Elephas maximus indicus: one gene and its partner. The protein of the gene in region 1 purifies or fractionates together with the protein of each later gene. This does not show direct contact. Links are inferred from orthologs where the notes say so. Each region holds a gene or a part of one and is shown on either strand. Other genes may lie near its edges.

Region 1 (3,748 bases):
GAATCGACTCGACCGCACTGGGGTTTTTGGGGAAGACAACATGAAGCCGTGAAATCCACAAACTGACACTGTAGTTTTTATCCGTAGAGCTCAACATACTCAGTATTTGGGCAGGTTAGAATTAAAATTAGAAAGCCGGGTCCCAACACACTTTACTTTTCACCCAGCATCAAAGGATCCAAGTCCTTGAGAACTTGTATTATCCCACTGGGGAAGAAGTGACTATCAATTCTATCAAAATGACTCATCCAGTTTAGATAAATTAAATAGCTCCAAGTTCTGGATACTTACAAAGTAAGCACTGTGTGAAGTTAATAAATTTGCTAATTCCAAGAAAGGAAGGAGAAAGGAATGTTGGAGTACTCTCTTTGTGCCAGGCACTGGACTAGGCAATTCACACAGCTCCGGATGTAATTGTCATTCAAAATTAAACTTATTTTACTCAACGTAAAGGAACAATATCTATGTTGCTCTAAACTGATTACAACAAGTAAACTGTTGTTTCCTCCTCTCCCTCCATCTCACATACATACACACAAAAGTCAATCATTTAACCTGAATTAACAGTTCATTACTTTTGAGAGTTTTGGAAACCACAAAAACAAAATTTAATTTGAAGGCAGCAACACTGAAACCAAATGTATTTTCTATCCTCTACCATCTCGCCATGAACTTGTCTGATGTTGAACCTGAAGGAGATTCAGTGTCATCTCAAGGGTGGCGAAAGTGATCTCAAAATCACCCAAAAATCCAACATAATATGAAGGTTGGTGGCTACACACACATCTGTAATCTACCAATGCACATTTATGACCGCTTTGATAATTTTTCTTGGTCTAGATTATGTCACATACATTAGATTTTAGAACCTACTTCTAGAATGTAGGGACAACTTTATTTGCATCAAACAGGGTCTTTTCTTCCGCAAGGAAGCAGGAGAATTGAAGGCAGGTGAACTCCTGGAACCATATTAGTGCCTTACGTTAAAATACAAATTTTTCCAATTCTCAAGCTCTTACAGCATGAAAATATATTTCATTGCCTCTAGTACCACACAAGTCCATATAAAAGTTCAGCGAAATCGCTTTCAACATTATTTCAACTTTGAAAAGTGAAAGAGTGGGTTACCAGAAATCCTAGTCAAGCGAAGCATTCCAACTACTGTACTTCCTACTCAGGGTCTCTCATGTTAATCAAAAGTAAACTAAAACATCTTGCAGAATTAGATAAAGAGCACAAAGCTGTGGCTCTCCTACCAACCACCAGATTACTCAGCACTTGTTTGTTTGTCTGTAGTCGGTTGTGTACATTTTCCGGCTACCCATATAGACCGCATTCTTCCTAACGATAAGGACCTTGTCTTCGATTTCCTTTGCCTCACGGTAAGGTACTATTTTAATAACACACTGCTGATCTAGAGTACATCAGCTGGAGGACTTTACTAAGTAAATACCCAACCTTTCCTCCACTCCTTTTCTTCCTCTGCAAGGAAAAGAGGACAGCAAATAGGGGAGAGTTACAGCTACCTCTGAAACGAATAGGTAAGTCAGCCGTAAAAGGAAGGAAAAAAAAAAAATGTGAAGCGCAATTACTCCTGCTACTGCCCCTTTAATCTATGGTCTCCGAGGCCAAAACGGACGTTTGAAAGGTAAACCCCAAACCCTGCAAATACAAATCGCTGGCTCTCAAGCACGTCAGCTGTCTCACCTCGCAAAAAGCAGGGCAAGCCAAGAAAAGGGCTCCGAGTGAGCCCCTGGGGCCGTTCATCAGGGAGAGGAGGGAGGGCGCGGTTACTCAGGTGGGTAACTCCCCCTCCCCTGCATCACCCTCCCTAAGGAGCCCCACGTCTGAGGTCTGAAGTGCCGGAGTGTGATTGTGGGAAGCAGCGGGACCTGAGAGAGATATGAGGCACAGAAGCAGCCAGGAAACGGGGATGCTCGGCTTCTGAGCCGTAACTCCAATCACTTACGTTAAGGGGTAGCCGCCCCCTAGGTGCACATCTTCAGGGGCATCGTAGAATTCCTCGGTGTCGCTCTCCGACGCCATTTATAGGACACACCCGCGGGTGAGGGGGCCGGCGCCGCCTGAAGAGAGGGTGACTCTCGTCTCCTCCTTGCCGTCCTCCACCCCGGCGAGACTGGGGAGGTGGGTCCCGGGCAAGGATGAGAAGGGAGCAGAAAATCTGGAGTGAAGAGTCGGTTAGGGACAGAGGGCCGCCCTCAGCTGCCGGGCTGCGGGAATGACCCGGAGAGCGTCCGCCTGAGGAGGCGGCGGTGGTCCGGGGACTACTGCTGCCGCCGCCGCCGCCGCCGCTCCTGGCGCTAGGTGTACAAGGAGAACGAAAGAAGAGGCGGTGGCTCTTCTCCGTGGGGGAGGGCGGGCGCGCCGGCGACAGCAGCTCCAATTTCTCCCGCAGCCGCAATTACAGCAGCTGGGAGAGCTGGTTGTCCGCAAAACACCGACGCGCACCTACCATCGCGAGATTTCGGGAGGTGGACGGTAAGGCGTGGGCGTGGCGAAGAGGAGGCGGGGGCAGTTCTGAGAGGCAACGCTCGGATTACTTTTGCCCCAGAAGCCTATCAAAACGGCCCAAGCGCGTTGAGGGCGTTCGGAGGGGCCGGAAGTAGCCCGGAAGGGAGGTGGTGAGCCTCAATAAGGGAGGAGTCTAGAACTTGCGCAGGAGCAACGTGGTGCCCGGGTTCTGAGGGCGTGTGCACCGATGTTGGTAGGGCTTTGCGGAGTTGCTTTACGTACTTACTCAGCAGTTCCAAAGGGAGGCATTTCAAGAGGGATGATTTTGAGTCTGTTTTTAAAATTTCTCTTATATATGAGGAAATGTTGTCGTGGCCTTTTTGGTTTGCATTTACATTGTCTTAATTCAAGCCCGGAAGATCCCACCTTGGGGCGTAGGCAGGGCCACCACCTCTTGCGTTACGTGAATATCTCGCTGGAAACCCTGGTGGTGTAGTGGTTAAGTCGGCAGTTTGAATCCACCAGGCGCTTCTTGGGAACTCTATGGGGCAGTTCTGCTCTGTCCTATAGGGTCTCTATGAGTCGGAACGGACTCGACGGCAACGAGTTTTGGTGGTATCTACTACAAGATCTCTAACTGAGATCCCTAGATACAGTCCTGCCGGCCAGAGGATAAGATTCATGAGAGACACGCGAGGAGTGTGCCCGTTCCACGGAGTTAGGATGAGTTTATTGCTGGAGCTGGGCCAGTATAGGAAACCCTGGTAGCATAGTGGTTGAGAACTATGGCTGCTAACCAAAAGGTTAGCGGTTCGGATCCACCAGGCACTCCTTGGGAACCGTATGGGGCATTTCTTCCCTGTCCTGTAGGGTCGCTATGAGTCTGACTCGACGGCAACGGGTTTGGCCAGTATAAGGCCTCCAGTTACTTTTTTTTCTACAAATATCTGTCGCTGCCCACACTTAATGTGAGAGAAATTTTTACATACGCCCAAGATGTGGGTCAGTCAAATGGTAACTAATGTACTGAGCAGAAAACAGTTGCAAGGCTAACACCTAGTTAACTTAATTGTGCTCCTCCACTGACCAATGTCCAGTGATGAAAATAAAAAGGTACTTTTTAAAAGACCAAGATGTTCTTTCTTAAACGGGGCATTGACTTTCAAAATGATTACATTAACTTTCCTTATGATCGTGAAGCACAATTATTTCTCCCACTGACATCACGGCTGTCAGCCACTTTGAGCGATTTGCGCAGCCTCAGCTGTTACTCAAA
Region 2 (3,748 bases), on another chromosome or scaffold:
AGCACTGAAAAGATGAAGTCATGAAACCAGTTGTCTAGATGCAATCACCAATCTCTGTATTTACAAAGCACTGGACGGCCACAGATAACTGTTTCTAAACAACGAAGCTTTCTGTAGGACGTGCGCATCATCCCTATTGACGAAAAGTAGTTCCAGATTTTGGCAAGTGAAGAGGTCCGCCCAAAGTCAAAAGAACTGGAACTTGCACTTTCTCAAATCGGTGCCTCTTTCCATAACATCGCATTGGTGCAGTGTTGGTGCTGGGGTGGGGGCTTGGAACCGCTGGGGGTCAATCCAGGGAGGACTGTCTGACGAGAGGCCCATGAGGGTAACTGGAACACCGCTATGTCCAACTTCTTTCCACTCTCCAGCTTCATCTCCACTTGGCCCTGCACCTCCAACAAATGCTCTCTGCAGCTATCATTCAGAACTACTAGCAGCACTCCAAAGGGGTCCAGTCATCCCAGCCTTTGCACCTTGTATATGCAATTCCCTCTACCTCAAATGGTCCCCACCCACTTCTTTTAGCCTACTTCCATTCGACTTCTGTAACTCAGCTCAAATGATACCTCTTCTAGGAGTTGACCTCCTTATCAAATGGCTCAGCTGACCCCTTCCCTAAACTTAGGTACTGGGGTGGTGAGCTAGGGGCCAATGCAAGAAGTACATCTCATGTGACTCAGCTTCTCCTCGCACCTGACACATAGTAGGCGCTCAGTAAGTGTTTGTGGACTAAACGAATGAACACACCAAGTCACAGGAGCAACCGAGTCAGGCTTCCCGGGACAGAGAACTTCAGACGACTCAAGTGGAAACCATCTCTCACCACATCCACTCAGGCACTCAGATTCCTTCCCCAGCCCAGCTCCTCCAGGAGAAGGCCATGAGAACATCATGCAAACCAAAGTACTGTCACAGAATTGTGACCTGTGCTAGGTTTTTGTGTTTTGCTTTGCTGTTTTCATCTTAACTGGAAAACCTTCAGGTCCATTTGGAGTCATTTCAGATTGTGTACCTAGGAGGCAAAGTGACAGTCACAGTTCTGGAGTATTTCCCAGGGGTCACACAGCATAACAATGAAAAATGCAGGCTTTGAAGTCTGGGTTTGAATGTGCCGCTTGCCAACTGGGTAACTCTGGGCTAGTCACCCTACACTGCTTCCTAACAGTGCATAGTCACTGGGTGCTTATGGCCAGCATTCATTCCAAAAACACCTATTCAGTACCTACTGTGGGCCAGGTGCTGGTGATATAGTGGTGCCTGGCTGTTCAATCTAAAGTGTCCCTCCAACAGGTCAGCCCGTTTTATTTCCTTCACAGCACTTAACATAATCCACAATGATCCTGTGAGTTTGTTTGCTGGTGTGTTTGTCTCCCTTAGTTAGAATGTAAGCTCTCTGAGAGCAGGGACCTTGTCCATCTTGTTTACCGCTGTCTCCCAGTGCCAAGCACACGCCCACCACACCATTAAAAGCTCAACACATGCGGAAAGAATCTATGAGCAAGTCAGACAAGGTGCCTGTTGTCTCACGTGCTTGTATTCTGGTGGCGAAAACAGTCCAAAAAAAGCTAAGAAATGTAAAGGTACAAGTGAGCAAGACGAAAGTTGCACCTAGGAACCGAGGCTCTGGCTCGCCACAAACTCACGTGCTACTCAGCTCCATCTCCAGGCAGCCTTGGGGAGAAATCGGATCCAACCATTCTGTCAGCACTGCCCCAGCTGCAGGACATAAGCGAGCAAAAAGACACTAGAAAGAAAGTTGGGCCATGTCCTATCACAACTCCTGCGGAAGTTCCTTTCATTCATTTGCTCAGCATGCGACTGGCCGCCTAACGAGTGCACAGGGGATGAATGACAAATCCTGTCCTCATGGAGTTTCCCTTCTAGCATTGAAGACAGAAAACAAGTTAGTTAGCGGGCAGTTTGGATGGTGACCAGTGCCTTGCAGACCACAGAACAGAGAGCTGGGTCACCAGCTGGGGACATCCGGGCTGAGACCTAGGAGGTCAATCTCGTGAAGAGTGCTTACACTCCAGAGCAGACCACAAACTAAACTAGGCGATAACAGTGACAATGACAACTGTGACAAGTGCCTCGAAGGCGAGGCGCCCCGAGAGGCCGGGGCGGCAAAGCAGCCTGGGCCCCCGCGCGCGGCCTCTCCGGCCCAGGCGGCTCCTGACAGCTGTGGGGGCGCCGGGCCTGCACCCCCAGAACTGGGGTGGGGCCGCGCAGCCCACGCGGGGCGCCGGCCGGGCCTGGCCGGAACATGGCGGCCGGCCCGGGGGCCTTCGCGGCTTACCTCGGAATTTGAGCTCGTGCTGTGGCTCGAGGCTCAGGACCTGCTCCACCTTCGCCATGTTCCTCGGCGGCGCGGCACCTTTGGTGGGGAGACCCCTGAGAAGTCAACTGAGGCGGGAAGCGTTAATGCTGCGCCCCCTTTAAATTAAAAAAAAAAAAAAAAAAACAGGCCAGCGGGGCGCTGGCGGGGGTCGCGACGGGGTGCGTGGGGGCGGGGGCGACCTACGCGGTGCAGGCGCAGGGGCAGAGGGCGAGGGCGAGGCCGCGGTGCCCGGCGAGCTGACGGCACGCACGCACGCACGCACGCACGCAGCGACGCACGCACGCGGCGGGAAGCGGCACCCTGCGCCGGCTCCAGGGGCGGGAGAGGGAGGCTGCGGGCGGAGCCCTCCCCTACAGCAGTGCGCAGGCGCAGGGGGGCGGGGCTGCCATGCAGCAAGGGGCGGGGCTTCGTGCAGCCCTGGAGGCGGGGCCGCTCCGGGCTGCCCAGAAATAATGACAGTCTGGGTGAAGACTATTCATTTTTTAAGGGCCTTTTGGGGGCCGGCTGTTGCGTTAAGTGCTCTATTCAATAATGATAATTAATAAGGATAAACTCCACTTTTCCCTTGCCTATTTAGTGCCAGGCACTGTTAAAGGCTTTGAGCAATAATGAAAGTACTATTTATTCATCTTATTATTATAAACATGATGTTTATGAGTGAATGATACGTGCTAGGCGCTGTAACGTATCGTAACTAATAATTATAAATATAATAAACGACCAATTATTGCTTGCTTATTTTGTGCCAGACAGCTGAATGCTTTCAGTAATAACAGCCACTATAATAAATAAAAGCTTTTATACACTGAATGTTTATGATGTCCCAAGCACTGTGCTGTATCTTTGCTAATAGACGCTATTTATGCAACAAATATTTAGAGATACAAAGGTCAGGAAAGTTGACGTAGTTCCTACCCTCTTGCTTCATAGTACAGCCTAGTGGAGCGACGTCCTTTCATTAAATAACCATACACGTAAATATAGGTTTAAAAATTGCTGGGATCAGCTTGACCTCAAAGTGGAACATTCTGCATCATTATTGCCATCGAACTTGTATTTTATTACAGAATGTTTGCTACATAAAATGTGTGTTCTTATTACTGTCTTATACATTCAGAAGAAAGACCTGGCAATCTACTTCTGAAAAATCAGCCACTGAAAACTCTGTGGAGCATGGTTCTCTGACACACATGGTGTCACTGTGAGTCGGAGTCGATTCACAGCAAGTGGTGTCTGGTACACACACACATAGAAGAAGCTGGTTGAACCTACACGGCAGGTACATGGGTGTTGTTTGTACTATTCTTCCTACTTTTTTGTATGCTTGAAATTTTTCATAATGAATTTGTTTGTTTTGTTTTTTTAAAGATAATCTTCATCTTTTAACTGGAGTTCTTGGTCCATTTA

What was found. The genes of interacting proteins can lie anywhere in the genome.
Region 2: the proteins of WDR44 (region 1) and VAPB purify together in Homo sapiens (affinity purification with mass spectrometry; 4 studies listed by BioGRID and IntAct, counting the BioPlex papers as one, with this or other methods). This does not show direct contact. The link is inferred for Elephas maximus indicus from reciprocal best matches to the Homo sapiens genes WDR44 and VAPB.

The regions. Positions count from the first base shown.
Region 1 is NC_064846.1:38,685,242-38,688,989, forward strand, and holds the start of WDR44 (WD repeat-containing protein 44), read right to left. Parts: upstream 2,477-3,748; 5' UTR 2,047-2,476; coding exon 1,970-2,046; intron 1-1,969. UniProt on the Homo sapiens protein: Downstream effector for Rab11 which regulates Rab11 intracellular membrane trafficking functions such as endocytic recycling, intracellular ciliogenesis and protein export.
Region 2 is NC_064843.1:10,890,971-10,894,718, forward strand, and holds the start of VAPB (vesicle-associated membrane protein-associated protein B/C), read right to left. Parts: upstream 2,590-3,748; 5' UTR 2,358-2,589; coding exon 2,300-2,357; intron 1-2,299. UniProt on the Homo sapiens protein: Endoplasmic reticulum (ER)-anchored protein that mediates the formation of contact sites between the ER and endosomes via interaction with FFAT motif-containing proteins such as STARD3 or WDR44.